4 linked regions of the Lonchura striata genome follow. The protein of the gene in region 4 interacts with the protein of the main gene of each other region in a pairwise test. Links are inferred from orthologs where the notes say so. Each region holds a gene or a part of one and is shown on either strand. Other genes may lie near its edges.

What was found.
Region 1: the proteins of ATXN1 (region 4) and DCTN3 interact in binary tests that used the Homo sapiens proteins (3 or more experiments, as listed by UniProt). The link is inferred for Lonchura striata from reciprocal best matches to the Homo sapiens genes ATXN1 and DCTN3.
Region 2: the proteins of ATXN1 (region 4) and ATXN2 interact in binary tests that used the Homo sapiens proteins (3 or more experiments, as listed by UniProt). The link is inferred for Lonchura striata from reciprocal best matches to the Homo sapiens genes ATXN1 and ATXN2.
Region 3: the proteins of ATXN1 (region 4) and CAMK1 interact in binary tests that used the Homo sapiens proteins (3 or more experiments, as listed by UniProt). The link is inferred for Lonchura striata from reciprocal best matches to the Homo sapiens genes ATXN1 and CAMK1.

The regions. Positions count from the first base shown.
Region 1 is NC_134642.1:40,926,172-40,934,147, reverse strand, and holds the start of DCTN3 (dynactin subunit 3), read right to left. Parts: upstream 3,002-7,976; 5' UTR 2,963-3,001; coding exon 2,870-2,962; intron 2,752-2,869; coding exon 2,667-2,751; intron 2,336-2,666; coding exon 2,249-2,335; intron 1,417-2,248; coding exon 1,333-1,416; intron 785-1,332; coding exon 726-784; intron 1-725. UniProt on the Homo sapiens protein: Part of the dynactin complex that activates the molecular motor dynein for ultra-processive transport along microtubules. Together with dynein may be involved in spindle assembly and cytokinesis.
Region 2 is NC_134620.1:11,796,355-11,803,262, forward strand, and holds the start of ATXN2 (ataxin-2), read left to right. Parts: upstream 1-3,897; 5' UTR 3,898-3,927; coding exon 3,928-4,040; intron 4,041-6,908. UniProt on the Homo sapiens protein: Involved in EGFR trafficking, acting as negative regulator of endocytic EGFR internalization at the plasma membrane.
Region 3 is NC_134614.1:15,394,024-15,400,966, reverse strand, and holds the start of CAMK1 (calcium/calmodulin-dependent protein kinase type 1), read left to right. Parts: upstream 1-3,931; 5' UTR 3,932-4,207; intron 4,208-4,610; 5' UTR 4,611-4,638; coding exon 4,639-4,724; intron 4,725-5,462; coding exon 5,463-5,594; intron 5,595-5,824; coding exon 5,825-5,899; intron 5,900-5,967; coding exon 5,968-6,106; intron 6,107-6,198; coding exon 6,199-6,325; intron 6,326-6,419; coding exon 6,420-6,495; intron 6,496-6,589; coding exon 6,590-6,702; intron 6,703-6,811; coding exon 6,812-6,890; intron 6,891-6,943. Other genes in the region: ARPC4 (actin-related protein 2/3 complex subunit 4), read right to left, coding at 110-228, 419-421; TADA3 (transcriptional adapter 3), read left to right, coding at 1,064-1,270, 1,393-1,643, 1,811-1,916, 2,070-2,211, 2,363-2,466, 2,568-2,677, 2,810-2,995, 3,072-3,264. UniProt on the Homo sapiens protein: Calcium/calmodulin-dependent protein kinase that operates in the calcium-triggered CaMKK-CaMK1 signaling cascade and, upon calcium influx, regulates transcription activators activity, cell cycle, hormone production, cell differentiation, actin filament organization and neurite outgrowth.
Region 4 is NC_134603.1:90,444,691-90,452,428, reverse strand, and holds the start of ATXN1 (ataxin-1), read left to right. Parts: upstream 1-4,726; 5' UTR 4,727-4,822; exon of another isoform or gene 4,823-5,063; intron 5,064-7,738. Other genes in the region: RBM24 (RNA-binding protein 24), read right to left, coding at 2,591-2,645, 3,742-3,865, 4,400-4,567. UniProt on the Homo sapiens protein: Chromatin-binding factor that repress Notch signaling in the absence of Notch intracellular domain by acting as a CBF1 corepressor. Binds to the HEY promoter and might assist, along with NCOR2, RBPJ-mediated repression. Binds RNA in vitro.

The sequences.
Region 1 (7,976 bases), on a different chromosome or scaffold from region 4:
AGTGCATGATCAATAAATAAGGTGAACAACATACCTCCCTTCCCAGTCCACGACAGCATGGCAGGAAACTCATCCAAGGCCAGCACTGAGATCAGTGCTCAGGCCCTGGCTGTGGTGCCCACTGCAGCTGGACAGGTTTTCACAATTAAGAGAAAACTGACAAACACTGGTCCCATGAAGCAGCAAACCCCCCAGGCTTGCACTGCTGCTTGCCTTTCCTCAGTATCCAGGCTTTGCTTGCCCCGGAACAGAAACTCAGAACAAAATGCTGAAAGAGACCATTAGGAACTGCCCAGGCTGCTCACTGCCAGCTCCAAGAGTGCTCATACAGGGAGGGAAAGGGTGAAGGGACAGGCTGACAGTGTCAACAACGTTCCAGAGAGTAGGACACTGGAGGAGAGCAATGCTTCACCTCAGAGTCTCAGTAAAAGGGGGAATTCAAGATGGTTAAACCAAATGTCCCTTACTATGTGTCACTGAAAGCTGTTTTGAGCAGGGTTATGGTGGGCAAATTTCCAACTTGGACCAAATTCACAGAAATCCTGGCTCCTTTTTCCCCTAGGAGTACTTAAAACTTCTTTAAGACTGTAGTATGAAAATTCAGATTGCAAAGAACTGCCATAAATGAGCAATTCAAGCAATTACAAATACTGGGTGTCAGTACAGCCACTTGTAAAAGGTTTCTAGGCCCTTCTACTCAATACTTATAGGAATGTTCACGGTACCTGCTGCTGTATGTGGATCTGTGAGAGCCTCTGCAGTTTGGCTGCATGGTCAGGAACCGCTGGAAGCACAAAAGAGAAATCAGTTTGGGCTGTTTTACAGCACATGGGATTAGCTCCCAACGTAAACCCCAGTCTTCCTCCATGAGCACAGCATGGCAGAACTCCACTTGCTGAGTGCAAGTGTCCCACACTATAGATAAAACTCACAGAGGATAAAAAAAATTACATAACTATCCTGCACATGGCACAAGCTCAGGGATGCCCACAGCGAGGGCTACTCACGAAACACACGGGACTAAACCACTGGCCAGAACAGATATTCTGGATGTAAAACAGCTCACAGGAAGGAATGACCTGCCAGGCTCCACCCCCTCTGCCACAGTGCTCTCTTTAGCCTGCTTCACAAGCTACTCTATCACCTCCATGACTTTGCAAGGGAGACTAGGGCAGCATGTGGCAGGAGCAGACTAACTTTGTACTCAGTTTACTTTCACACCACTAAGCTGTCTTCTTCTCTAGTCTCAGACTCAAGAGAAAAGAAAGCAAGCAGGACAGGCCACAGCTTAGCAGGTGGCATTTGCAGCTCCAGCTTGCAGAACATGCATACCTTGGATACTGGTGCTGTCCAAGATAGGCTGGAGGTTCTTCACTTGCTCCAGAAGGGCTGCACGGGCAGGAATAGCCTGTTCCTCTGGTTGTGTGGGGACAAGAAGCAACATCAGTAAACACAAAACACTGCTCTGGCTTTTCACTAGTGGTAATTTTCCCAGCTGATCTGTCTTTACAGAAAGGATTCATGATTTTTCATCACTTTTGTGCTGCTCATCCCTGGGTCTTGACTGACACCAATTTCAGGCAGGAGAATCTCCACCACGTTCTAATGATAGGACAAGGAGTGTACAAATGGAAAGAGGGGAAATTTAGGCTGGATATTAGGAGAAGATTCTTTACTGTGAAGGTGCCCAGGAGGATGTGGATGCTCCATCCCTGGCAGTGTTCAATGCCAGGTTGGATGGAGTCTGAGCAACCTGGGAAAGCTGGGGAAGGTGGATTGGGACTGGATGGTCCTTAAGTTCCCTTCCACCCCCTTAACATTCCGTGATTCAGTGGAATTCCACTGACAGATTATACTGGTCACGGGTTGATCAAACTCCTTGGGTCAAGAGAGGACAAGGCTAGGGGATGTCAAAACACACCCAATTGTCCCAGCCTGGAGAATACTGAAGTGGGGTAAGGAAATCATCCTAGCTCCCGCTTTTCTTACCAGCCTTTGATGAATTTGGGGCTAAATTGAATGATCAATACAGAAGAGATCAGAGCTGACAAAACTGCAGTGTGGCTGTGCACAAGGGAGCACTGAGGGTGACAGACACCCTTGTGCAAACCATCTCTCTGATACCTCCACAGGGCCTGCCGTGCCACATTTTACCACTGAAGAAAATAAATTCATCCTGACCCATCTTAGAGAAAGGATGCTTTATTTGCAGTGCTACAAAAGCCTCCTCTTTCCCCTCATCTCATACCTGCCAAGATGAACTGCAGCTTCATAGTGTCTGGAACAGCCATCCTGTCAATGTACTGGGGGTCAAGGTATTTTATTATATCTTCAACTGGAGGGATAAATAGGTTTGGAGACGAAAAGTAGGGAGATGTTATGGCATTCATAAGAGCAGCATTTCATGGAGAGCAGATCCTGACATGGGCAGATGGAAATTGAGCAAATAACAGGCTCCAGCCGCCCATTTCCCACTCTGCCTGCTGAGCTGGAGATTGCAAGCACATAAACCTCTCCCAGTTATTTATTTCTGTGCCAAACAAACTGAAATAAGCGCCCAAGCCAAAAAGGTGTGGGGAAGGTATTTTTGTTTAGAGCAGTGAAACTGTTTGGAGCTCCCCCCTCCCGCCCTCTGCGATCCCTCCCGTTCCGCAACAGCCGCTCACTCTTCTTAAACAGGATTTTGATCCTCTCCCTCTTGCCGGCGATATTGTTCAGCGCCACCTGTACCTTCACCAGCTCGTCTGCCACCTGCAGAGGCACAGAGGGAGGGGAGGAGGCTGTCAGGCCCCGCCGGGCAGCGGCACCCCAGGCCCCGCCAGACCGCACCAAACGGCGCCCGGCCGCTCTCCGCAGCTCCCCCCGGCACCTTTTGCGGCCCGCAGCCGCCGAGGCCGACGCGTTGTTCCAGCTCCTCCAGCCGCCACTGCAGCCGCCGCAGCTCCGCAGCGCCCGCCGCCATCTTCGTGCCGGGCGGAAGCGGCCGCGCCCCACTTCCGGCGCGCCCTGGCGGTTGCCATGGCGGCGCGTTGCTAAGGACCGCGGTTGCCATGGAGACGGGAGGGGAGGCCGCGTCTGGCGGCGCGGAGCCCCTCTCAGAGGATGCGGCGCGGTCGATGGCGATTTGCACTGCAGAGGGAGGCGTGCAGCCCTCCCGCTGCCTGGGAAGGCAGTCGATGGCCGCTTCATTCCGGCGTGGTCCTCCAGGAAAGAGGCGCTCAGATGTATTAAAAGGAATTGATATAGCGATCCGTGCGCATGCAGGCCCTTTGAAATGCGGGAGGCTGCCGCCGGCTTTCCCCCAGGCCTCTGTGTGCCCGCGTTCACCTTTCTGTTATTGATTGCCACAGGTGACACTCGTGAAGAAGAGAACTACTAATGAATGGTGCAGCCAACCCCAGCCGTGCCACTGCCTTCAACTGGCACTCACAATTACACAGACTTCTAACAGGGATAAAATTAATTCATAGTAGCTGCATCTGCCACAGAAAAAAATCCAGAGGGTTTCCCAGCTGCACAGCAAAAAGTATCTGAGGGTGCTTTAGGTAGACTGTAGCCAGCAAGTCAAGGGAGGTGATCCTGACCCTCTACTTAGCCCTGGTGAGGGCACACCTCAAATGCTCTGTCCCTTTCTGGGCTCCTCAGCACAAGAGAAACAAGGAGCTACTGGAGAGGGTCCAGCAGAGGCCACAAGGATGATCTGGGGTCTGGAGCATCTCTCTTCTGGGTATAGGCTGCTGGAGATGGGCCTGTTCAGTCTGGAGAAAAGACTGAGGGGATCTCATGAATGCATATAAATATATCAAAAATTGGTATCAGAGGGCATGGTGCCAGACTCTTTCCAGTGGTGCCCTGTGACAGGATGAGGAGCAATGGTCATAAAACAGAAGGAAAGACTTCATTATCCTGAGGGTGGAAGAGCACTGGAACAGCTGTGCAGGGAGGCTCTAAAGTCTTCTTTCTGGAGATATTCCAACCCCACCTGGATATGTTCCTGTGTCACTTGCTCCAGATCACCCTGTTTTGGCAGGGGGGTTGGACTGGGTGATCTCCAGGGGTCCCTTCCAGCCCTGATGATTCTGTGATTCTGTGAATTTTCAAAGCACATTCTGCTGTCATTCTCTGTATCCCAGGGCTCAGTCCCATCATGTACTGATGACTTCAGCAGTGCCAGGATGAACATGGGCCTGGGTTTTGCACTGCCATAGCCCAGGCACCAGGGAACATCAAGTCAAGGTTCCAGGCCACTCTTTAGATAAAAACCATCTCCTAACTGCAGGTATTTTGCTAACATCACTGATAATGTGGGAGGCATGGCTTTAAGGAACCCTCCCATTGCCCTTTGCTGAAAGCTAAATCTGCTGTGCCGTGATAAATCATTGTCCTTACAGGTACATTCCTACTGGGCATTGTATAGTCCTACCAGGGTGCAGGAGGGAGCTGTGGGGTGGCCCAGTGCCTCAGCAGCCCTTATGCTCCCCCAGCTCACCTGCAGGAGCTGTGCAGAGCACTTAGGCAGCAGGAGAAGGCTGAGGCTTCGTGTGTGCTGCCTTTTCTTCCCAGGGATCGATAACTGGGATCTTCAGAGGGTGAAGAGCTGAGCTTTGTTCCACAAAGGCGACAAATAGAAATGGCTTCATTAGCAGAAGCACCTGGGGGCTACAGGAGGGGCCAGGGGCAGCAGGAGGGCCGGGGTCTGTGCACACAGCGATGGTCTGTGCTTAGAGGGCACCAGCTCTACTGTGGCCTGGGCCCAGCATGATGGGCAATGCCCCAGACACACAAACACCTGTACTAGAGGGTCCCAGACTACCCTGAGCTGAGAAACTCAGGCAGTCCTGGGCCTCACGCACTGGGGGCTTTGGGACTGTCCTCATCCTCCTGTGGGAACTCAAAATGTCTCTCAGACATTTTTGGAGGTTCCAGGCCTTGGTCAGAGGCATTCTAGACCCCGGCAGGCAGCTGGAAACAGCTGTGATTTCGAGTTTGAACCATGGAATGAATTACCAACTTTGAAGGTGGAACAAGCAGTCACAAAAGGTTAGATAGTATAGTAAAAGTAGTTACAAAGTAGAGGGGAATTTTTTTTGGTATTGTACAGGGGGGTTTTAGCACATGTACAGGGGGGCTTTTACTTTGTACATGGGGATCAGAAGTTCTAAGATGGAGGAAAGTGGGCTGATCCTGTTCTTCCTCTTTCTTCTTCCTTACCTCCATGTTCTTGGTGATGTTGGCATTCACAGATTGGTTTAGAGTAGAAAAGCACTTGGTTATATAGGTAGTAGGTATTGGGGAATAATTGTAAACATGTTATACGTGATATATCTTATGAAAGATAGCAGCAGACCTGGGCGGGGGGAGAGAAGAAGAAGACACTGGGCAGTGAGGGTGTCAGTGTGTGTGTGTGTGTCTGCCTGGGCCGCTGATCAAACAGCCGCAGCCCAAGAACCCAATCTGTTAGATAACTAGCAATAAACTGCCTTGAGACCAAACAGCAAGAGACTGCAGAGTTTTTCTTTGGGAGCATGGGTTGGAGGAGAGACTTTACCACCACTTGAGACCCCAAACCAAACACGGTGTTCTCACATCCACCCTTTAGAGTTCCATCCATTTTGCAAGCCTTGGAATGGAGCTGCAGCTACAGCACTGATTGCCCACAGCCCAGCACATGGAGCCTGTTCCCTGCTTCCTGGGCATAGAAGCAGGCCTTTGACCACATCCCCTGGAGCTTGCAGGGGCACACTGATTCAATCACTTGCCCTCAGCTCAGTGCTGAAGCTGGATTCAATGCTCCATCGGCTGGGCTGGATTGTCCCCTCATCCTCCAACTACTCTCTCCTGCTCAATTACAGTCCCTGCAGGACATGGGGAAGCAGGCATCAATCACGGCTGTTACTCAGGTGACAGCAGCTGTGTCCCCAGGCTCCCCAGGGAGTACGGAAACACACATCACCCTCTGAGCCTGGTAATGAGTGGGGACGGGGCCCGCATGTGCCCTGCTGGTTCCCTGGGGCTGTGGTGCTCGATGAGCTGTGGCCAGCACTTCACAGCAGTGCAAAGGGACACAAGACCGCAATTAAGGCTGCATCAATCCCACTCCAGCTCTGCTTCGTTCACTCACAAACAAATCCCCCCCACACGCACACACATATGCCTTGTTCATGAACCTTCCTCCATCCCCAGTGGCCAGACCACAGGGGTCGACCCGCCAGACCACAGGTCCTCTGCAGGGGTGTCAACCCATGTCCTCAACACGTTTCCAGCGTGACACCCCACCCTCCGCGACACCCCCGTGTCCCGAGGCTGGGTCCGGGGCGGGCAGGGCTGCTGCAGCACCCTGGACAGCGACAGCACTCCCGGGTGGGCTCAGAGGTCCGGACTGGGGGTGCTCCCTTGCCTTGGGAATCCGCGCTGGGATGTCAGCGGGAGTCCGGGCTGTGGCTGTCTCCGAGGGGCTGTTCTGGGAGGACTGGGGGCTGTCCTCGAGGGGCTGAGTTGGGGCTGTACCTGAGGAACAGCAGCTGTTCCCGAGAAGCTGTGTGTCCCCAGGGGTCTGAGTCTGGCCTCGGGGAGGGGGCGGGGTGGGGACTCAATCAGGAGTTTCTGCCCCCTTGGGTGCCAGGGACCTATCTTCGTCGTTGCCTCTAGCCGGAGTGTCTGTCCCCACGGGAGCCCCTGTGCCTGTTCAGATGTTCAGGGGGCTGCACACGTGTGGCAGTCCATGTGTGGGCATGAGTGTGACAGTCTCAGAGTGCATGCCATTGAATTTGTACAAGGGAGTACACATGACCACCCACATATGTGTGTGCCTCCCAGCTCCACCATGGTCACCTGTGTCCTCTGTGGGCACTGCTCATGTGCCAGGTTGGCGCATCACTCCTGGCATCTTACCAGGTCCAAACTGACACCCCCATGGACATGGTCTCAGCAGCTCCAGTGTCATGTTTCCTTTCCTGCACAGGGCAGCCTAATCGGATCTCCACTCATGGGTGAGCTGCCACTGAGTGCTCATGGGGGCTCAGCCAGGCTCATGGACAGCCTGGCTGGCACAGCTGAAACTGGTGACCTGTCTGATCCAGCCCACGTCTGCGAGCTCTTGTGGGCATAGGGCACTTGTTTGCAACTCAGAGTTCCCAGAACCTGAGCTGGAGGCAAGCATGAGTTGGGCTGTGAAACCTCAGGCACTGCAGGTGTTACCCCAGGGTATCACAGGCTGTTGGGATGTCCTGCACCTCCATCTGGGCCCCGGGGCTCGGTGGGTGGCACCATGCCCTGCACACAACCCTCAGCACCGTTTTGGTTCAGGAGTTAATTTCCTTTAATAGATACATGGAGTCGCGTGGTTGCGGTGGGAGTGCGGGGAGCAGGCCAGCGCCGCCGAGCCCCCCGTGCTGAGGTAGAGGTGAGCGTTGCTCCACACTCACCTGCTTTGGCACCCTGGGGTACACGTGGGTGGAGGAGGCGCCCGCCCAGCCCCAACGAGGTAGTTCAGAGTGCCCTCTGTCTCCCTGTCACCCATCTGGAGACCCTGGCACCCAAGCAGTCTTTGGTGGTGGTGGTGGTGGGGGCTCTACTGGGCAACCCTGCCCTCCCCCACCAAAAAAACCCACCCCGACATAAACCCCCTACCCCAGCCACACCCCAATAAGCTTCACCCCCACCATTCCCACCAATATCCCCATTATTTGCCCCCCCCCAGGGTGATCCCCCTGAGCTGAGGACCTGGGGGGCTCAGATGCCACCACCCTGGGGGTATCTCAGGGCAGGGACAGCAAGCCCAGGCAGCACAGGAGGACTGGGTAGGGGCGTCTGCAGTGGGTAGGGGGTGCAGTATATATATCGGGGCTGCAGAGTATAGGGGCTACAATTTACAGGGGCTGCAGCATATCATGGCTGCACGGAGGGTGTGTATGGAGAGGTAAAGTGGGCACCAAGGGCGTGTGCAGGGAATACAGTGAATGCATTGAGGCGTGTAC
Region 2 (6,908 bases), on a different chromosome or scaffold from region 4:
AGCATTTCCCTTCATCTCCTGCTGGTTGCAGGAGAAGCAGCTGGATGCATGGCCCAGCAGGGACATCCATCAGCCATGCCCTGGCTGCACGGCTGAGGATTGGGAAGAAATGGCAACAAAACTGCAAGTGCAGATCAAAAACTGAATCTGATGGGAGCTGGTCTCCGCTCAGAGCTGAGCTGGGAATTTGGGAGCTGGAAGCAATGGGAAGATCAGGGTAAGGGGGGAAGGCAGAGGTGGCAGCAGCTGCTCCACGTGGCTGGTTTGGAATTTGGGGTTTGGTTTTGCTGTGGTACCAATCCTGGTCTGGCCAGGGGTGTGTCCTCAGTCAGAACTGAGGGCAGCTTTGGTGACGGGCTACATCGTATCTCTCTGGGAAGCTCTGCCGTGTGTCAGCACCTGATTTGTTCTCTTAATATCCTTCCAAGTGTTTGGAGATCCCTGTGCTCACAGCACTGTCCACAAAGCTTTACCCTCCGAGAGGAGGGGTGGGGATAATGGCACCGAAGAACTGAAATCTTCAGGGAAAACACGTGTGTGACAAAGCTCAGCTCTCTGAGCTTCTCCAGCAGCTGATTTTGCTTAAAGCAAACCCCTGTGCCTGTGCTGCTGTCCCCGTGTACCCAGGCGTGTTTTGTCTTGCTGGATGCTGTTGAGGATCACCCTGGGTAGCTCAGGGAAGGGAGCACAAGACGAACAGCAGGTTAGATCAAGGAAATGTTACATCACACGGCACTTCCTGCTAAGTGCTGCTATTATCAGCCTCATTCATCTCCACATGCAAATACAGCCTGCACACGTCGTCACACATCTGGAGGGAAATAGCAGTCCTGGAAAGGAGCAGCTCTGACCTGGATCGTGGACAGGAGAGGCAAAAGGGAGCATGATTCTCCACTAGGAATTGTTTCCTTGCTTTCTTGATTGAATCCTGAATTTTTCTCCAGCTAAACCACCACATCCACTGTTCACTGCTTTTTGTCACATCAATGACATCCAAAATGTCAGCTATAAATGGTGGGGAAGAGCAAAAAAAAAAAAAAAAAAAGGGTGAGAAATTGATAAAACCAAGCCATAAAATAATAACTTGGGAATGGTGGGCTATCAAGAAAAGCATATTCAGGAAGAGGTAAAGGCAATGATGTGCCCTAACAACAGTAGAATCCCATTATACTGGGAATTTGGGGAGGAGGAGGTGTCCCTGGAGAAGGTGGCTGCCACTGGAAACCACCCTGTAGCTTCTCTGGTGGTAATTGCTGAGCTATATTAAATGATCACTTCTATATTTACTTTTAACCTGCTTTTTTATAAAGATGCTCAACAAAGAAAAAAGGGAGGGCACAACGAAAGCCAAACGGAGCTTAAGAAAACAAAGAATACATTGAAGGGGAAAACAAGTCAAACTGCAACTGCTCTTGAGTCATTACTGAGGATGTGAATGCCAGCCCATTCATACCCTGCTTTCTGAGCACGTAATGTCACCCTAAAATGTACTTTGGTGTGCTCATGTAATGTCTTAGAAACTGTCTCTGCCTGTGGAACTTGGTTCAGGTATTTTTTGACATTTCTGGCTATCAAGGGCTCCATCTTTGCCCCACAGCCCCTTCAAACTGCTGCAGGTGCTTTTGTGGTCCTTAATCTTCAGCCACAGAAATAGTCACTAAGTGCTGTGAGCTGTGAACATTCCAGGCTGGAGAAGTATTGAAGTGATATCTTCTAAAAACCCCACGTTGAGTGACCTGGATGAGTTCTACTCACTCTCTTATCAGACTTCCTTGTGCTTTTTATTAACAACTTCCTTTTCAAAGTTGCTCAAGGTTCATGACTAATCCAAAGCTGTAGAACTTAAAAAGAGCAGCCTAAAGAGATTGGTTCACAGATTTGTGGAATATCCTGAGTTGGAAGGGACCCATAAGGATCATCCAGTCCAATCCTGGCCCTGCACAGACCCCTCAACATCTTCATAGCCTCTTTTGGGCCCTATATATTTCTTAGATTTTTATATACATCTATATACTACTACAACTATTATTATTATCATTAGCGTTGTTATTATTACTACTACTATATTGTTATATATTGTCTTATATTGCTTTTTCATGCTAGTGTGTTTTACACAAATATATATAAAGGATTTTTCTTAGCAGCTTTAGGAATTTATTTATCCTATCACATACAGTGAACCAGATTCCTGCTCTTACAGTGAATGCTCCCAAAATTGGTGCCAGTGGTAACCTTTGGCTGTGCAGGTGCTGACATCTTCCACAGAAACTCTTTGGCTCCAGAAACCCTCAGTGTCCTTCTCACTCAGTTCTGTGGCTGTGAAATAGTGAAGCATCTTGTGAGTTCACTAAAAGGATTAAAAAATGAAATTTCTTTAAATCACCATCTCTGTTAAGAGTATTTTCTATGGGAAAACTCAATGCTGAGCCCATCGGTGTAGGATCTGTCATCTAGCCTAGAAAGTGCTAACCACAAGGTTACTTGAGCCTGTGAGGTAAAACAAAGCAATCAGTTTAAAAGGTAAAATGTAAGGAAAATGCTAATTTAAGAAAGCTGTTCAATATTTTATCTTTTTACCATTGTGTGCTGCCACCCACAACTCTTCCAAGCGCATGGGAAAGCTGTTGCTTTAGGAGCAAGGTGTATAAATAATGCCTGCCTAAGAGCACTGCTCCTTTTTATTCCTTTGGAATCCTGTGGGATTTCTAGAGCATTTCTATGAATAGATTAAACTCTGAGCATTTCGAGTAACCATGGCTATAAATCAATTTAGCTCTTGGTTTTCAAGTTGCATCTGCTCTTACTAATCCTGTATGTGCATTTATTTTATTTATTTATTTTTTTAATAGGCCAGACCAGGCTTTATTTTTGTGTATGGGTTTTGGTTTTGGTGAAATTCCCACTCTGCACCAAGCAGGTTCACAACCACAGCACCCTGGATTTCTGCAGGGAGCCTGCCGATGGTGGGCAGGTAACACGGAGTGAGGGGAGAACTGGCATCTTGAGCGTAAAGATTTCACCCATCGGCGCAATGCAAATTTAAATTTCATTACTAGGAGGGGAAGCCGTGACTGCTCCGAAATGTGTAAGATGGAGGGGCACTGCAGGGAAAGCAGCCATCCTCCGGCCCCATCTTGCTTTCCCCCAGGAGCAGGGATGTGTTTGGCAGCTCTCTGCGGATCAGGGCCTGCCCTCCTCCCCCGGCCTTCCGCAGCCGCCCGGGGCTCGGCCATTTTTCCTCCATTTCGTCGTCTCTGGACGCTTGGTTTCTTTTGAACGATGCGCTGCGGGCCGAGCCCGCCGCTCGCTGGGGCCCGGGGAGGGGCGAGCGCGGCCGGGCCGCACCAGGCCGCGGCCTGCGGGCCCGCGGCGCGGGGACCGCCGCACACCGTGGGCCGTGCGGGGCCGGCCCGCCGGTGTCACCGGAGGGGTTTGAGCCGGCTCGGGGACTCCCCCGACCCCGCCGGGGCCTCACGGCCGGGCCGGGCGGGCGCCGCCGCCGTCCCGCGCCGCCGCCGCCTCACGTGTCCCCCCCTCCCTCCCCGCCCCTTCACCCGCCGCAGCACCGCCGCCGCGCCCTCCGACTTCCCGTAAAGAGTCCGCGCCGCCGCCCGCCCCGCGCCCGCCGCCGCAGCCCCGCCGCCCCTCGCCGGCCCCGCGGGGGTGCCCCGAGCCCGCGGCTGTGGCCGCCGCGCCCCCCGGCCCCGCCGCCGCCCTCAGCCCGCGGCGCGGCCCGGCCGCCGCCCGCCCCCCCCCCCCCGCCCTCCGCGGATCCCTCCGCGCCGCGCTCCGCTCCCTCCGCCCCGCTCGCACTGTTTGGGAGCAACCGGCCGAGCCAGCGGCGCCCCGGCCCCGCCAGCGCAGCGCGGACCGGCCGAGCGCACCCAGCCCGGCGCGACTCCCGGCGCTCTCCCTTCCCTCCTCGCCATGTCCCTCAAGCAAGCGGCGGCGGCGGCGCAGCCCGCCGGCAACAACCGCAAGCCCCCCGGCGGCGGCGGCCCCGGCCTCCCGTCAGCCGCGGGGAGGCAGAACATGGGCAGGTGGGTGCGCAGTGCCACGGGACCGGCCCCGGGCCCGGCGCGGGCGCCGCTCGCCCGCCCCCGCCGCCCCCTTCCCCCCCGCCCTCGCCCCGCACCGGCCTCCATGGGCGGCGGCGGCCGGCAGGGAGGGGGGGCGCGGGGCCCGCAGCATGGCGGGGCCGGGGCGGGGGCCGCGATGGCGGCGGGCGCGGCGCTCGCGGCCCCGCCGAGGGGGTTCCGCAGTGCCGGGGCGAGGCCGGGCCGCGGCCGGTGCCCTTCAGGCGCGGGGAGGGCACGGCGCCGAGGCTCCATTTCGGCCCCCCGCGGGGGCCCGGGGCGGGGGGCGCCGCTTCCCCCGGGCCGACGTGACCCGCCTGCTGAGGAGGGAGCGGGGGGAGCGGGGGGCGCGGGCCGCACGTGTCGGGGCCGGCGCGGGAAGGGCCGCGAGCGATGGCGGCGGGGCCGGGGGGCGGCCCGGGCGGGGAAGGGGGCGGCGATCCGGCCCCGCGATGGCGGCGCAGCGCCCTCGGCTCACCCGGGGAGAAGGGGGATATTAAAATAATTGTGTTTTTAAAATTTATTTTAATATCTGGGGATCGCTATTATTTGTAAAATTTTTTTAGCTTTTTTTTTTTTGTTTTATTTATTTATTTATTTTTTTTAAATAATGGAAATCACAATAAAATTCTCGCGGGAAGGCGGGCCTCGCCGCGCCGCTGGATGGTGGCTCCGAGCGCGGCCTCGCTTTCTCCCAGATTTTTGGGGCAGGAATCTTGCAGAGGCTGAGCCCGCTCCTCGCCTCCCCCCCACGCTCGCTGCCTCTGAGAGATTGATCCTGCTCCTGCTCTCAGATCATTAGCTACGCAAATCCACTCACATTTCCCCCCTTTCTTTCCCCTCAAATAATAAACTCCATAGTGCTGTGAATTTTTCCCGGGCTGCGGGGGTCATAACAAACGATCAGAGCAGGACGTTAACAGTTCTGAAGGTCACAGTCGCTCAGAGCAGTTTCATTTCGAGTTTTATTCATCTTCCTCTTCACAACTGGACGTTTAATCCCACTCGGTTTTGTGGCACTGGCAATAAAACAGAATTTACAGTGGCCCCATTGTTGGACATCACTGGAAATAGGGTTTTACTTTGTTCCCAGCCAGTGGAACTGGAAGCGGAAGAGCTTTGGAAGGGTTGAAAAGGACAAAATAAATAACAACAACAATACCTCAGCAGCTCACAGCACCGATTTAATAGTTTTTACATATGGCATTAGGTGGGACATGATGTTTACTGGGCTCTGTCCCTGCCAACACACAGTGGCACTGTAGAGGTTAACGTGAAGGGCAACAAAACCTCCAGCTTATTTTTTTAAATTCAGCCTGATGGCAAGCACTTACCCCCTTAGATTTGGACATGAGATCTTTGAATTCTCTCCCAAGTTTATGATTAAAGCCACTAGATTTCTCCTCCCAGTGTTGCCTTTCTGGTTCTATTGGATAAATTCCACTTCAGAACTCCCTAAGGAGTTCTGATGGGCCTGCTGAACAGCTGATGTGTTCCCTCAGAAGGGTTCATGCTCTTTGTTTCTTAATTTTTCAAGTTATTTCTGAATGGAGGGTCTGTAAAATCACAGTCCCAGGCCTGCTGGAGCCCCATGGAACACCTTCAGAGGACTTCCCCTGTAGCTGTCCTTGGACTTCTGGGGAGTGCAAATTCAGATATGGTTCATTCTGTAAATCTGGCCACGTGAATGAAAATTTAGGTGTCCTGCATCTTGGTATCAATTTGATGCATTGTATTCTTTAATAAAAACTTGAACATCTCCAGTGTATGTCAAGCTTTCTGCCCAGCAGCTCATTTCCCTGCAGCACCAACATTCCGTGCAGAAAAAAAAAATAAAAAAAATACTACTTTTCATGGCTAAGTTGCTCTTGAAAGCTTAGTTTGGGCAGAAAAGTCATTGATAATTAACTGTCCTGGGCCTCATTTTCTGCTGTGGGTTTGTTACTGGAAGAATTGGGCTGAGCACTTGTCCTCCTACCTCTGATCACGAGGGAAGGGTCAGCTCTGCTCGCTGCCTTGTCTCCATGGGTTCATACTGCTGCACATCTGTATTTCAGATTAGAAAAGGTAAAATCCCATGTGAACAAGCAGTGGTTTTTTTTACTGTCCTATTAATTGCTTTTGGACAAAGGGAAAAATCAGAAATGAAGGCATCCTTGAAGGTGTGTGAGATAAAAAAGAGGCCCCAAGTGGAGTGCTGTGTTTGTTTAATGTGCACTATGGCAGATGGGCTTGGGCTGCAGGGGAGATGCCAATAGCACAGCAAGCTGTAATTAGGGAGAATGTAGACTTGGTTCACAAACTTGCTCCCTGTGCTATCAGAACATTATCTAACATCTACTTTCTGTGTTTGAGCGGAGTTTTGCTGTTATGCAAGCACAGGAGGGTTAGCTGTCCTCTGGCTGCAAGTTGCATCTATCACAGCCCTCCTCCATCTCCGTCCTCTTTTTGTTCCTTTTTTCCCTATTGTTATTTTATCTGAAGATAAAACACCTCACGGTCAGGGTTTGGATGTTTCTTGTCTTGTTACAATTGTGGCAGAAGGGATTTTTCATTTTGGTAACTTGCTTGCCTAACTGGGCTTGGGGGATCCTGTAAGAATACACAGAGTTTCTGTCCTTTAAAAAAAATGTATTTTTCCCATCAAAAAGCTAAAACTGAAACCACCTCATGGTAAAAAAAAAAAAGAAAAGAAGACACAAACTTCTTGCCTCCGTTTCTTTTTCTTTTTCCTTGACATCCCTTTCTTGAGAGCATGGTGACTATCCTGTTCAGAGGGAAGGGAAGGGGAATGTTGAATGCCAAGGTGCTGGAATTTAAGGGCAGTGACTG
Region 3 (6,943 bases), on a different chromosome or scaffold from region 4:
GCCTAAGGGCCGGGGGTGGCCAGTGCACGGCAGGAACGGGCCAGCGGTCCCCAGGGCGGGCAACCAGGGCTCGGCAGGGCTCTCTCGGTGTTCCCTCCCGCCCCCGTACCTGACTTCCACCTCGGGCTTGTTGTGCCGCTCCACCACCTGCGAGGAGAAGTTCTCCAGGCACAGCGCGGCCTGCAGCGTAGCGCGCACCGCGTTCAGGTACGGGCGCAGCGTGGCGGTCTGCGGGGACACGGCGGTGGCGTCAGACCCCCACCGGAGCCCGGCGGTCGCGTCTCGCTCCCTGCCCCAGCCCCCGACCAGCAGCCCGCAGCCCCCTCAGCCCCGCTCACTCCGCCGGCCGCGGTCCCGGTCCCGACCCTCCCCAGCCTCCCCGCCGCCACCGCCGCTCACGGGGCGCCCCCCGCCCTACCATGGTGGCGGCGGAGCTCCGGCCGGCCAGGCGGAAGTGGCTGATCGCCTCTTCCGGGATGCGCGGCGCCTCCCACTGCGGCGGCAAGGAGGGGGGGCGGCTGGAGGCTCCCGCCCTGCGGCCTGGCCCCCCCCGCGGCACGGAGCCGGGTGGCGGCGGCGAGACTCCGCGCGGCTCCCCCCCGCGCCGTGCCGCGGTTGGTACGGGCCTGTCAGCGCTTCCATATTAGGGAAGGGAGATGGAGCGCGGGCCGGGCCAATGGGCGGCGGCGCGCGGCGCGGCGCGGCCAATGGGCGGCGGGGGGCGGGGCCCCCGCGGGGCCGGAAGGGGCGCCCGGCCCAGGCCCGGCCCCGCGGCCTCCGCTGCGCCCGGGGCCGCCCCCGCCTCGGCCCCGCAGCCCCCGCGATCTCCCTCCGCTCCCCCTCGGTGACCCCCGCCGCGTTCCTCGGTGATCCCCCCCCGCCGGGTTCCCTCAGCGCCCTGGTGGTTCTCCCCACGTTCTTCTCACCGCCCCGGTGATCCCCTGCCCCGGGTTCCGCAGAGCCCCGATGCCCCCCGACCCTCCGTAGTCCCTCACTCCACTCCATTCCCTCCCGGCTTTCCCGCCCCCCACTCCCCCGTGTTCCCGTGCCGGTCCCCACCGCCATGAGCGAGCTGAAGGACTGCCCGCTGCAGTTCCATGACTTCAAGTCGGTGGACCACGTGAAAGTGTGCCCCCGGTACACGGCCGTGCTGGCCCGCTCGGAGGACGATGGCATCGGCATCGAGGAGCTGGACACGCTGCAGCTGGAGCTGGAGACGCTTCTGTCCTCTGCCAGCCGCCGCCTTCGCGTCCTGGAGGCTGAGACACAGGTGCTGGGGCCGCGTTGAGCCGGGGACAGTCTCTGTCTGGCTCCTTCCACCAAGGGGCTGCCTCTGGTCTGCCCCTGCCCAGCGCTGGGCACAGCATCTTATGGGACACCACTCTCTTCCAGATCCTGACGGACTGGCAGGATAAGAAGGGCGACCGGCGGTTCCTGAAGCTGAGCAAGGACCACGATGTGGGCACATCCGTAAAACATGGGAAGCCCAAGAAGCAGAAGCTGGAGGGCAAAGGGGGCCATGGGACTGGGCCTGGGCCCGGCCGGCCCAAGTCTAAGAACTTGCAGCCCAAGATCCAGGAATATGAATTCCAGGATGACCCCATTGATGTGCCCCGCATCCCCAAAAATGATGCTCCAAACAGGTGTGTGGGTGTTGGGAGGCATTGGGATCATCTTTCTCCTTCTTTGGAGCACATGGCACAAGCGCTACCTCTAGCCTGAGAGAAGAGGCCACAGGGGGAAAGGGGACATGTGTCACCTTCCATGTGCCCCCCTGCATCTCCCTCTCACAGTTCATCCATTCTTGCAGGTTCTGGGCATCGGTGGAGCCGTACTGTGCCGATCTCACCAACGAGGAGGTCAGAGTCCTGGAGGAGCTGCTCAAGCCGCCAGAGGATGAGGCTGAGCACTACAAGGTGAAAAGCTCCTAAGCCCCTTCCTCTGCCCTCTCTCCCCATCCCCTCTGGCACCTCACAGTGACTCTTCGTGCCTGGGATGCTGCCATGGCACTGGTGAGGTGGGAGGCAAGGCAGAGGCTCTAGGAGCTGTGCTGAGCCTTGCTCTTGCAGATTCCACCACTGGGGAAGCATTACTCCCAGCGCTGGGCACAAGAGGACCTGCTGGAGGAGCAGAAGGATGGAGCCCGGGCAGCAGCTGCTGCTGACAAGAAGAAAGGTGTCCTGGGGCCACTGACTGAGCTGGACACTAAAGGTGCCCCAATCCCACCCCTGCCTTTGCCCTGAGGGGCTGGGAGGGCTTGTGCCCAATGGAGCCAAGCCCAAGAAAGGCTGAGGTAGCCCTGCCCCACTGCTCATGTCTGTGCCTTTGGGGTTGCTTTTTCCCCTCTCCCGCTTCTTCCCAGATGTTGATGCCCTCCTGAAGAAGTCAGAAGCCCAGCACGAGCAGCCAGAGGATGGATGTCCCTTTGGTCCCCTGACACAGCGTCTCCTGCAGGCCCTTGTGGAGGTGAGGGGCTCCAATGGCACTATGGCCATGGTGGTCTGGCACTATAGAGCATTCTGCCAAAACCCAGCACTGTAACACTTCCCTCGTGCTCCCTTTGCTAGGAGAACATCATCTCCCCTGTTGAGGACTCCCCCATCCCTGAGATCACTGGCAAGGACTCGGGAGCTGACGGTGCTGGCACATCTCCCCGCAGCCAGAACAAACCCTTCAGGTGAGCAGCTGAGGCGGGCCCAGAGCTCAGCGCTGCCCGCGGGTGCAACGAGCACGCTGCTGGCTCCCTGCCACTGTGAGTCACAGCGAGCAAAGGGCGTGTGGTAGGCAGCAGCCACTCTCACCCCGGCAGTGTCCCCCACACCAAGTCGCTGGAGGGGCGGATCAAGGAGGAGCTGGTAGCCCAGGGCCTGCTGGAGTCAGAGGACCGTCCGGCTGAGGACTCGGAGGACGAGGTGCTGGCTGAGTTACGCAAGAGGCAGGCAGAGCTGAAGGCGCTCAGCGCACACAACCGCACCAAGAAACACGAGCTGCTGCGGTGAGAGCGAGCGGGCTGGGATGGGTGCGGGCAGGGGGCTGCCTGGCAGGGCCTGACGCCCCCCTGTGCCCCGCAGGCTGGCCAAGGAGGAGCTGCACCGGCAGGAGCTGCGGCAGCGTGTCCGCATGGCTGACAACGAGGTGATGGATGCATTCCGCAAGATCATGGCTGCCCGGCAGAAGAAGCGCACGCCCACCAAAAAGGAGAAGGACCAGGCCTGGAAGACCCTGAAGGAGCGGGAGAGCATCCTCAAGCTGCTGGATGGGTAGCAGGGACCAAGGACCCCCCCATTCTGTGTGGACTTCACCTGCAGGGGGCTGCCCTGCTTGAGCCCTGCCACCATGGGATGGAACTGGCACAGCTCCCCCATGCCCTGAGTCTGGTCAGCCTCCCTACTCGGATGAAGGAGCCCAGCTGCTGTCCTCTCCCTGTGTAGGGCTGTCACTGATCCAAGCTGGGCACCCGGTGGAGTTGCCGAGGTCCCTCCCTTGAACACCCCCACCCCGGCTGGTGGCTTCCACTCCCACGTCCGCCCTACACTCCCCTGTTACTCGGGTGACATCAGCCAGGTCACTGCAGGGGCCAGATGTGGCGGCTGTGATGGTGCGATTCCCACGGTCCCCTGTCCCTCTCTGTGATGCGGGGCAGGGGGAGATCCCAGCCCCACGGGTGGACTGGGGGGAGTGGGGAGGGGAAGCGGCTGGAGGGATGAGGGGTCTGGTGGGTGGGTGGCCGAGCTCTCCATGTACCGGTGGTTTCTATTGCCGCGAGCACCGGCAATAAAGGCAGCCGTGTGCAGGTGACAGTGTGGTGACATTGGGGGACAGCCCTGCCCGGCTGTGGGGGTGGGCTCGGTCTGGGGAGGTGAGGGGGATGAGGAGTGGCGGGGCTGTGTCTGTCCTGCAACTCCACTCGTGCCTACCCGAGGAATGCCCTCGCATCCTCAGCACAGACGCGCGGTGGGCCGGGGGTGGGGTGGTGTGTGGGTGACGCCGCGCCGCGCTTGCCGCCCTCCCTCCCCGCGCTTTTCCCGCGTGTCCACGCGCGCCCGCGGTCACGCGTGTCCCCCCGGCACCGCGGCCGAGCCGCCCCCTCCCATTGGCAGCGGCCGCGCGCTGCCCGCCCCTCGCCGTGACGTCAGCGCTGTCCGGCGGCGCCGCGCCGGGAGGAGTCGCCGCCGCTCCGCCGCGGGGCCCGGGGCCGCGGCCGTCGGTAAGGGCGGGCCGGGGCGGGGGCGGCGTGCCACGCGCGGAGGTCGTTCCCACCGTGACACTGAGCGGCGGCGGTGGAGCCGCGCATCACCCGCGCCGCGCAGCTCTGCTGCCACGCGTGTCCCGCCCGGCGGGCGTGGGGAATGGCGGTGGGGACCCCCCGTGCACCTACGCGCGTGTCGGGAGCCCTCCTGCTGCCTGCCCGCCCCGCATCCGCCCCATGGGCGGGCATCGGGAGGGTCCCAGCGTGTTCCCCCTCTGGGGCAAACTACGCCAGAACTCCTGCGTCGACACAGCTTGTTCCCGTCACCCCACGATGACAACCACCTCCCTGTAGCACCCTGTCATCCCCGTGTCCCTATGCCATCCCAGCACGCTGACAGCCTGTCCCACTCGTGTCACAGGTGGGAGTGAGTTGCCCCACAGGGCACCATGCCGCTGGGGCAGGATGGGCCCAGCTGGAAGAAGAGGATCGAGGATATTCAGCGGATCTATGATTTCCGAGATGTCCTGGGCACGTGAGTTGCAGACTGGAGTGACACACTATTGACAGCCCACTCACAGGGATGGGTCTGGCCCCTCAGGCTTTGCACAACCATCCATGTGGAAATAGCTCAAATCCTGGCCCAAGGTGGGGCTTGCATATGTCCTGAAATAGCTCAAATCCTGGCCCAAGGTGGGACTTGTACCTGTGGGGCACAGGTGCCACCTCCCTCTGGCGCTGGCTAGTTCCTGGGCTGTGCTGAGGGTACCTGAAGGTGGTCCCCTGGCTGGCAGAGGGGTTCCTGGCAGAACCCCATGGTAAGGCTCTTAGGCTGGATTAGCAGGTTAATTATGTCGGGGATTAGGGCCCAGCACAGCGCGAACACACTGCCTGTCCCTCCTGTCTCTTTCCCACCTGGGCACTGCCAACACTTCTGGCTGGCGCCTGGTTGGCCCTAGGTGCTACAGGATGGCACAGTGGAGAGCTACTGCAACCTGCATGGAAGCTCAGCCCAGCACAGCTTGACCTTGGCAACACCACAACCTTACCCTGCCTGATATGGGGATGGTGCAGCCACACTGGGAGGGCGGAGGGTTCCAGGCATCCTTTCGCTGCCAGGGTCCACGTCCGGCCATCCCAGCCAGCCACTCCTGCTTGCTTTTCTCCTATAAATAGCTGGACTTTCTGCCTGTCACCATGACAATCATGGCATGGCGGCATTGGCAGCTCTGGCTGGTGGTCCCCGTGCCCTGCTCATCCCTCACCCCCCCAGGGGGGCCTTCTCCGAGGTGGTCCTGGCGGAGGAGAAGGCGACGCGGAAGCTCGTGGCCATCAAGTGCATTGCCAAGAAGGCTCTGGAGGGAAAGGAGACCAGCATTGAGAACGAGATTGCCGTCCTCCACAAGTAGGGGCCATCCCAGCACCAGGGTGGGGGTTTCACTCTGTGCCCCCCGCCCCAACCTGGCACAGCCCCCCACTGCCAGCACTCATTGCCGCCTGTTATTGCCAGTGCCCAAAATAGCCAGCGGCGCGTGATGACCTGCGGCGTGGAGCCTGGCTGCTCCCTGTCCCCTGGGGGCTGGGGTGGGGGCAGCCCAGTGCCCCCTCACCACCCCCCTATGCCTCCCCCTGCAGAATCAAGCACCCCAATATCGTGGCCTTGGATGACATCTACGAGAGTGGCACCCACCTCTACCTCATCATGCAGCTGTGAGTGACGTTGTGGGGCTCCAGAGGGGCGGGGGGGCCATGCTGACAGGTGCTGCCCGTCCCTGCAGGGTCTCGGGGGGGGAACTCTTTGACCGCATCGTGGAGAAGGGCTTCTACACTGAGCGGGACGCCAGCGCCCTGATCCGGCAGATCCTCGATGCCGTCAAATACCTGCATGACATGGGTATCGTCCACCGTGACCTGAAGGTGAGCAGTTGAGGGGGGCACACACAGCACTGTCTTGGCACCGGGCAGGAGACCCCAGTGTCACCCCTCCCTCTACCCTCCTCTCCTCACAGCCTGAGAACCTGCTCTACTACAGCATGGATGAGGACTCCAAGATCATGATCAGTGACTTTGGGCTGTCAAAGATTGAGGGCTGTGGCAGTGTCATGTCCACAGCCTGTGGCACCCCTGGCTATGTGGGTGAGTGCCTACCATGGGCTGCCACCACCCTAGGTGTGGGGTTGGGATCCCCCCACAGGTTGGGGTCCCCCCTCACCGCTGCCATCCCCCCCAGCCCCTGAGGTGCTAGCACAGAAGCCCTACAGCAAAGCAGTGGATTGCTGGTCCATCGGAGTCATCGCCTACATCCTGTATGTATCCCCCTTCCCACTCCCTTCCCCTCCTGGGGGCCTGGCACCTTGGGGCTGCCTGGGACTAGCAGCCCCCTCCCCACTGCCCCCCTAGGCTCTGTGGTTACCCTCCTTTCTATGACGAGAACGATGCTAAGCTCTTTGAGCAGATCCTGCAGGCTGAGTACGAGTTTGACTCACCATACTGGGATGATATCTCGGACTCAGGTGAGCTGGGACCACCAGGGCAGTGGGACCTGTGAACCTAGCGCAGCTTCACAGTATCCAGAGGAATGGTGGACATAGGCTCTGAGAGCTGCTCCATGCTGTGTTCCAGCCAAGGACTTCATCCAGCACCTGATGGAGAAGGACCCTGGCAAGCGATTCACCTGTGAGCAAGCCCTGCAGCATCCCTGGTAATGGGGAGACCTATTGCTGTCTGCCCCCCTCTCCAGCTCACCCCACAGCA
Region 4 (7,738 bases):
TCTGCAGCACTGAATAAAAAAATTCCCTGCATTTTAAATGCATCATGCATTGAAGCTAATCTAGTTTCTGTCTCCCTCTACCACAACAGTATTGTACTTCAGTCAGAATATTGAACTTCTGCATCTTCTCAGTAAATGTAATGTAATCAAATTATTTTAAGTTTATTGTTTGACAGATGTGAAACCTTATGTTGTGGATGCCCCATCTCTGAAAGTGTTCAATTCCAGGCTGAAAGGAGCTCTGAATGACATAGTCTAGGGACAGGTGTCCTTGTCCATGGCAAGGGTTGAAACAACATGATCTTTAAGGTCCCTTCCAACCCAGGCCATTCTATGACGCTGTGATTCTAAAACACAGCTGACTGTACCAAAATATGGCAGCACCTCACTAATTTGCACTGTTAGGAAAAAAAACAAAACTCAACCACAAAACATTTGAAGCTTTTGTGTATGGATTAGCTGAGTATTGGCAGTGAATCACCACTACAGCTGGTTTCACAGAGTGTATTAGGGAAGTGTGCTTCCAAAGTACAATTGCACAGGAAGAACAAAGGTTTTAGGATGACCATGTACTTCAATGCAAACCACACAGCAGAAGTGAACTCTTCAACAGAAGGAGATTCAAATAAGCACTGAAACATCCTTTCTTACTGTCAATTAAGTGAATGAAGATGTTAATTCATCCTAATGATTGCTGTTCTCCTTAATCTGAACCACATACTTTAGATAAAGGTATAGATCACCGGAAATTTTGAGGAGGAAGAAGGGTTGGTAATCTCTGTTGTGTACACATTGTGAAAGAAATGCAACAGTCAAGAATGAAAAATTACCAATTTTATATAAACATGACTCCGTGACCAACATTCTTTCAGATTTATGTGCAATGCATTAGAAATCCAACCTCATTCAGCTTGCTGGAAGGATCTCCCTGACTTAAACATGGTTTATGTCATCTCTTGTTGGCTTTGGGTAAGGAAAGCAAGAAAGACTCCTACATTTGCAGAGTCCTTTAAGCAAGGGACTGCCACAGATCCTCCTTTTCTGTTGTGCTCAGCAAAGACTCTGTGATCCCTGCACAATTCAGTAGTTCCCTTTTCAACAAATGTTTTAATAGCTCTGGAGAGGAGGTGTTCTGCCTCCTGCCTGCCTTAGTGCAGGCATCATAAACTGATCAGTGCATATACATTGTCATCTCACACTTCAAAGAAGCAAGCAAAATACAGTAGAGGATGATCATAACAAGGTAGAAAAAAAAAACAGAAAAAATGTTTTTACAGCCTCCCCACTCTCAGAAGAATCAACACACTTTTAAAATTACATGAAGTTTCTAGGAAAAACCTTTTCCTGTTGTTTTCAGGATAAGAACTGTTTCCTTCCATTCTGACAAATTAAATTACTGAGAAGCTGTTGTCGTTTCATAACAGGTAAGTATGATATTCTAAAGCCAGTCTAACCAAATAAACTACATTTGCAACACATTTTCCCTACTATATTGTTAGCTTATGCATTTATTAGCAGAATGCACTATTTTGCAATGAGTTTCTCAGTCACTGTGCATTAGTGAAGTGACACTATGGAAAGCTTAAAGCAGACTTCACCTCCTAATGATATGCCTATAAGAAGCAAGAGTTAGATCCACTTAGGAATAGTTTATACTCAAATTCAGGAGAAATGCACTACATATTAATGACAGATTGAAGAAAAAATCCCCTCAAATTAGAAAGCCCAAATGGACGCACATCGTTAATAAGGAGATCCACACCCTTCCCAAGAACAAACCTCCCAAAAATTATGAACATGCAAGCAATATGTTGATTTACTTAAAAATCAAGAAATCACACAAGATAGCACTCACTACAAAATATGGTTAAAAAAGTCACAGGCTACAGCTTGAAAGCAAGGAAAAAAAAGGCCCTTTGCTCCCCATGGCAAAGTCACTCCTCAACAACAAAACCAAAATTAAAAAAGATCCCCCCCAAAAAACTTTCACTACAGCTCTTTCAATTAAATAAAAGCACACAGTTTAGCTATCAACACCACTTCATTACTGTAATAAAAAAAAAGCACACGGAGGTCTATTGACTATATGAAAAAAACATACATGCATCGTTAATCACCATTTTAGCTTGTTTGTGTTTGAGTCTACTGGTTACAGAGTTTAATTCCAAACAGAACTATTCCACCTCTTATCATCATATCCTTCTGATCAGTTATCTTAACTGTAAACGATCCCTGTCAGATTAGAAAGAGATAAATAACATTGAGTCAAGCTGAAAAAAGAGAAATGGGGCACAGCAATCTTGCATCAAATTATTCCTCCTTGTTTTATCATAGGGTCATGTGGGACTGGACTGCTTAGGCGGAAGGGCCACGTCCCACACAACTTGACTCAGCTGCGGCATTTAGAACATGACCGACAAGGTGAGCACATTTATGAGTATACATTTATAAATCTGAGAGCTTCAGCATTGCTGGCCAGCTTTAAGGATGCTACTGTAAGAGGCCTTCAACGATCATACTTTTCTTTCCTTTTTTTTTTTGAAAAAAAAGATTTATTTCCTCCCCTCTTTGAGATCCCATTGAGACTTACCCGAAAGGCCTCTGTATGAGAGCTGGATGAAGCTGCTGGACACCAAAGGCAAAACCTACCAACAAAAACACATCATATTCTCTGTATGGTTGTTTTTTCGGCCACTTCTTTATGTTATATATATATACACACACACAAAAAAAATGCGGAGTAAGAGCCTTTACTAACAGCCTGCAGTAACAATAGCTGAAACGCTGTAGAACCAAAAATTAGAAAGCAAAATACATACACACACACACACAGAACTTAAACCAGTAAAGCACACGCTTTCCTAGAGATGTTTAGGAAAACGACGTTTTCTAAACAAGTACAGGGTTTTCATTCACATTTTACCTGGTGCTCCATTTGGATCCCTAACTTTAGCATCTGAATGACTGGATGGTACTTTCCATTCATCAGTCTATTTGTGCAATTTCTACAGACTTAAAATTTAAGTCACCCCTACTCATCAGGACTTAGCATAGGGGGTCAAATCCCAACTTCATTTCTGCTCTCCAGACACCCTAGCAGAAACCCTGTCTTCTACTGGCAGGCAATTAATTACTCGCACAAGTGTTCATCAGGCTAAACATGAGGGAATTCAGAACGACCTCCTTTAGAGCATAAATGTGCACACACTCCATGCTCCTCTTACTTTTGCTTCAAGTGTCCCAGCAGTCTGGGAAGTGGCTAGGAAATCAGATTGTCTCAGAAGTGGTCTTAGGAAAAGCCATTTCATTTTAAAATCTGTATAATTGCTCCCATATGTTTGAGAAGTTTGTATTAAGATATTTAATGTTTGTGTTAATAAGACCGCACACATTGGAAGCGAGTCACTCCTAGGCCAATCTTACCCTGCAACGATACTGTAAATGGTCAGCGCCACCACATTCCCAGCAGCAGGAATAACCAATGAAGTGTTTGAGCTGTGGAAGTCTTCCTGGGGAACTCCAGATATTTTATCTCTGATTGCTTTTGTTTTTTAAATAAGGCACATGTGCAAAATAGCCAGAAAATTACTACATGCTGCATTTAAAAAATCAAAACCAAAGCACGCCCAACTGTGTGCGTACTTCAGGAAGGTGGAGGGCAGCACTACCTTTTTTTGAAGTTTTACTCTCTTCAGAAACCTGAGGTATGGAGAGAAAAGCCATTCGGAGCTGCTTCCTCACCTGGCTGCATTATCCGCGGCTTGGCACCCAGGTACGCCAGGTTCACGTTGGCTTTCCTGCCATCGATGATGGGGTTGGGGTCCTTACAAGCCCTTTCGGCAGCAGCTCTGTCAGCCGTGGTGACCTTAACGGGCGATGCCGCGCATTAGATCCCTTTCCGCGGGGAAGGAGAAGCCTCCCGCCCATAGCAGCGACCCGGCCCTACCCGCGGGCGGCGCCGAGGGGCCGCCGGCCGGACCCCGGCCCGGGGCCCGCCCGCCGAGCGGAGCGCAGCGCAGCGCCGGGAGCCGCGCCGGGCGCAGGGCGGAGGGCGCGGGCCGAGCTCGGCCGCCGGCAGATAAACCCCGCAGCGGCCGTATCAGCGAGCAACAGGCGCGCCGGCGGTGTGCGAGGAATTAGGCAAGTCCCCCCCTCAATCTCCTTGTTCAGTAATCCCCCCCACCCCGCCTCTATCCAAACTCCCCAGCAGGGAGAGAGAAAAATAAAAAGGAAAAAAAAAATTAAAAAAAAAAAAAAAAAAAAGAAGAGAGAAAAGCAAAAAACCGGACGCTCGGCAGCCCCTCCCGGCCCACGAGCTCTCACAGCGGCCCCCGCGGAAGTTTCCCCGCGATGCCCTCCCGCAGCCGCCCACCGCCCTGCCCCGCGCCCCGGCACTTACAAAGCCGTATCCCCGGGACTTGCCCGTCTGCCGGTCGGTGATGACCACCGCCTCCTCGATGTCCCCGAAGACCTCGAAGTACTTGCGCAGGCTGGAGTCGGTGGTGTGGTAGGGCAAGCCCCCGACGAAGATCTTGGTGTAAGTGGTGTCCTTCTGCGTCGTGTGCATCTTCAGCCCGGCCCTGCGCGCCGCGATCTGCACCCACGCGTGGCCACCGGGGTGTGCGGGTCCTGGGCGGCGAGACCCACTTCCAGACTCAGCCCCGCTCTTTTTTTCCTTTTTGTTTTTTTTTCTCTCTCCTCTCTTCCCCCGCCCCCCGTTTTCCCCCCGCCACCCAGCTACAATGCAATTCCCTTCTGCCTTTGCAGACCCAGCTTCTTCCTCCTTCAAGAGCGGAGCCTCGCAGCCTCGGGCGGTTTTGAGGTAGGTACCGGCAAAAAGAGGAGGGGAGGCCGGGCAGCAGCCAGCCTGGCGGCTGTAGTGCTGGAAACGAGCAGAAACAGCAGCTGGAAGAGGAGTGCAGGGCCTGGGCTCTAACGACTGAGTGGCCTCCCCCCTAAAAGCCACCGGGTCGGTCACTCTCGGTTCCTCCTCCTCCTCCTCGCAGGGGGCGGGGACGGCGGCGGGGCGGACCCCGCGCTCGGCCGCGGCGCGGCCGGGGCTGACACACAGCTGTTGGCAACAGCTGGGTGCCCCCCGTGCGGCGGCAGCCGGGCCTCGGCGCGGCCGGCGAAGGGGCGGCCTCTGAGGTGCCCCTCGGGGGACGCCCGGTGCCCTTCGAGGCAGGTTTGCTGCAAACAGCAAGTGCCGGGTGATGGGGTCCGGTGGGGTCAGCGGTGCCCGGCCGTCCAGAGAGCCCGCGGGCACAGCCGGTTCACTGGCTGCTGGCGGTCCTCAAATGCTTCGATCCCTCCCCGAAGGCTTGTCGTCAAACCTCTTCACTTACTGCTCTCTCCAGGCTAGCAAAACTATGGTGCTGCAACACATCCATTTTTATTGTGGTGGTGCTGGTGGTTGTGGTTCTTGATGTTCTTTGGTCACAAGATGAAAAAAAAAAATGGTAAAGCTGTTTCCCTTGTTCTTCCTCTTCTCTTGCTGCCTCTGCCCAATGTTGGGACTGGGAAGGATGAACAGAAACATAAATAAAGGAATGTCTGTGTGACATGAAGAGACATAGGACTGTGGGAGTTGGGGGGAAGGGAGACTCACAGAGAGACCGGAAGGATGGGAAGAAGGTTAAAACCGGGGAAAACAGATGTGCATATGTGTACAGACTTCTAAACCATTCTCTTGCAGTCCCAAAGTCTTGATAAGTACTGTGTGTCTCTTTTTCCTCTTTCACCACCTTCTAGGTGGTGAAGAAAGCCTAGTCTGCTAGGCTTTTCCTTATGAAGACACTCTCACTTAGAAAAAAGAGCAGTGCATCACTTGCAGGATGGACTTTCACAAAGTTCTTCTGCCCTTCTGGTACCAAACATTGACCATAATGAGAGTACTTAGCCCTAAACTCAGGCCCTGTTTGCCCATGTCTAACCTTAGTTCCATTTGATTTTTGCATCAGTAGTTTTCCTAGTTCTAATGGCCTATACCTATACCAGTCCTAAGCCATGCTGTCACTAAACTTTACTTGACGCTTCAGACTCTCCAGATTAAATTTGGTTTAACATGTTAAGACTAACTCAAGTGAAATCTAGCAGAACCACAGGATGAGACATAAATGTTACTTTTCAAGTGAAATTATGACAAGCCCTTAACATTCACCTGAATTCGATTAGGTCAGTTAGCTCTGTCTCCAAAAGTCTACCAGCTTGACTCTCCTGTTGGTCTGGAATATTATGTTAAACCTGACACTCCGAGGGCTAATTGTAACTTTAAACTCTAGCCCAGTGACCTGAACTTAAATAGTAGCTCAGCTAAGGGTGTCAGTGCTCAATGGAGCCCTGCAGCACACAGCCCACTTAGTAGTGTATTTAACATCTCAGACCCCTGTGGACCTGGAAGATGAACTTCTAAAAGTTCATCTGAATCCAAATGTAGTCCACCCCATCGTGTTTCCTTTCTCTTGCTGTGCCCAGCACTCCTGAGTGTTTTGCGGTGTCTGCAGAAAGGGTGAGCTAGCCTGGCTTTCCAGTCATTACACAAACTCCTTTATTAGGGCCAGAAAAGCAACATTTGTCTGTCCCAGAAATACTTGCAGATGTATTTAGAAGTACACTTTTTTCAGCCCAAGTGGAAGACTGGTGACATTGACAGACCCAAACTCAAAACCTGGCTTTTTGGTCTAGCAACAGCAGGTCTTCCAGGTAGCAGCAACAGCAGGTCTTCCAGGATTTAGAAAAAAATCCTGTTGTGTTTTTTTTGTTTTTTTTTTTTTTTTTTCTGGAAAAAACCCTAACTTTTCACACCTATGTCTCAACAAAAGACAAACTTCTTGTATTTAGGTAGGGTTCATCATGCAGCCTGTGTTTGTGCTGCAATACTGTTTTCAACCTTCTCTGAAAGGCTAACACATCCTCTTCTGTAAAACCAGAAGTGAAGCTGGCCATTAACAGATCAAAATATATCCTGTAAGCCATGCTACTACAGTCCTACTACTGTATTAGCATCCTCAATTTAAGATGACCATCCTAGTAAAATTTAGGAATAAATACAGTTCTTTTGTCCATTCATTCCTATAACTGAACTGTACCACTAACACCATCACAGGAGAACAATCCCTTCTATTGAAGGATAATTTCTCAAAACTTAGTTTTACCTTACATCCCTTCTAGCATCAGACCTTTTTCTGTTTTGGTGGTCCTGATAGAATCTAGGATATGATTCTCCAGCTTTAGAATTCCTAGGAATTCTTACCTAAATCCCAGAGAAGTGATACCTCATCATTTGCAACTTCCTCTAGCCCATTCACTGTCAACACAAGCCTTTATTTTTGCGTGGCATAACCTGTGAAAAACAAACACAGGCTTCCAGCTCCTGGATGCATGATCTTATGACCTAACTGTGGCTGATACAATTCTACTAGCACCAGGCTATCTACTCCCTCAGCAGGTCTCAGAAAGAAAAATATTTTCCATACATATCTCAGTCTTAATCATCACTTTAGGGTTACCCAAAGAGAAGGGTGACCTCTGTCATATGGAAATTAACTGAAGACCATTTGAACACTTTAATGATCAGGAATATATTGTATGCTTCTCTCCTATACCATATATTAACTCCAGATTTTGGGCTAGTCTTAATCCAAAGGAGGTTACCATGTACAGCCTAGGGAGGGAGTTCTTTCTGATTTACTTGTTGTGAAAACATTCGGGACTGATTGGGGCTTGTGTCTTTGTGCTA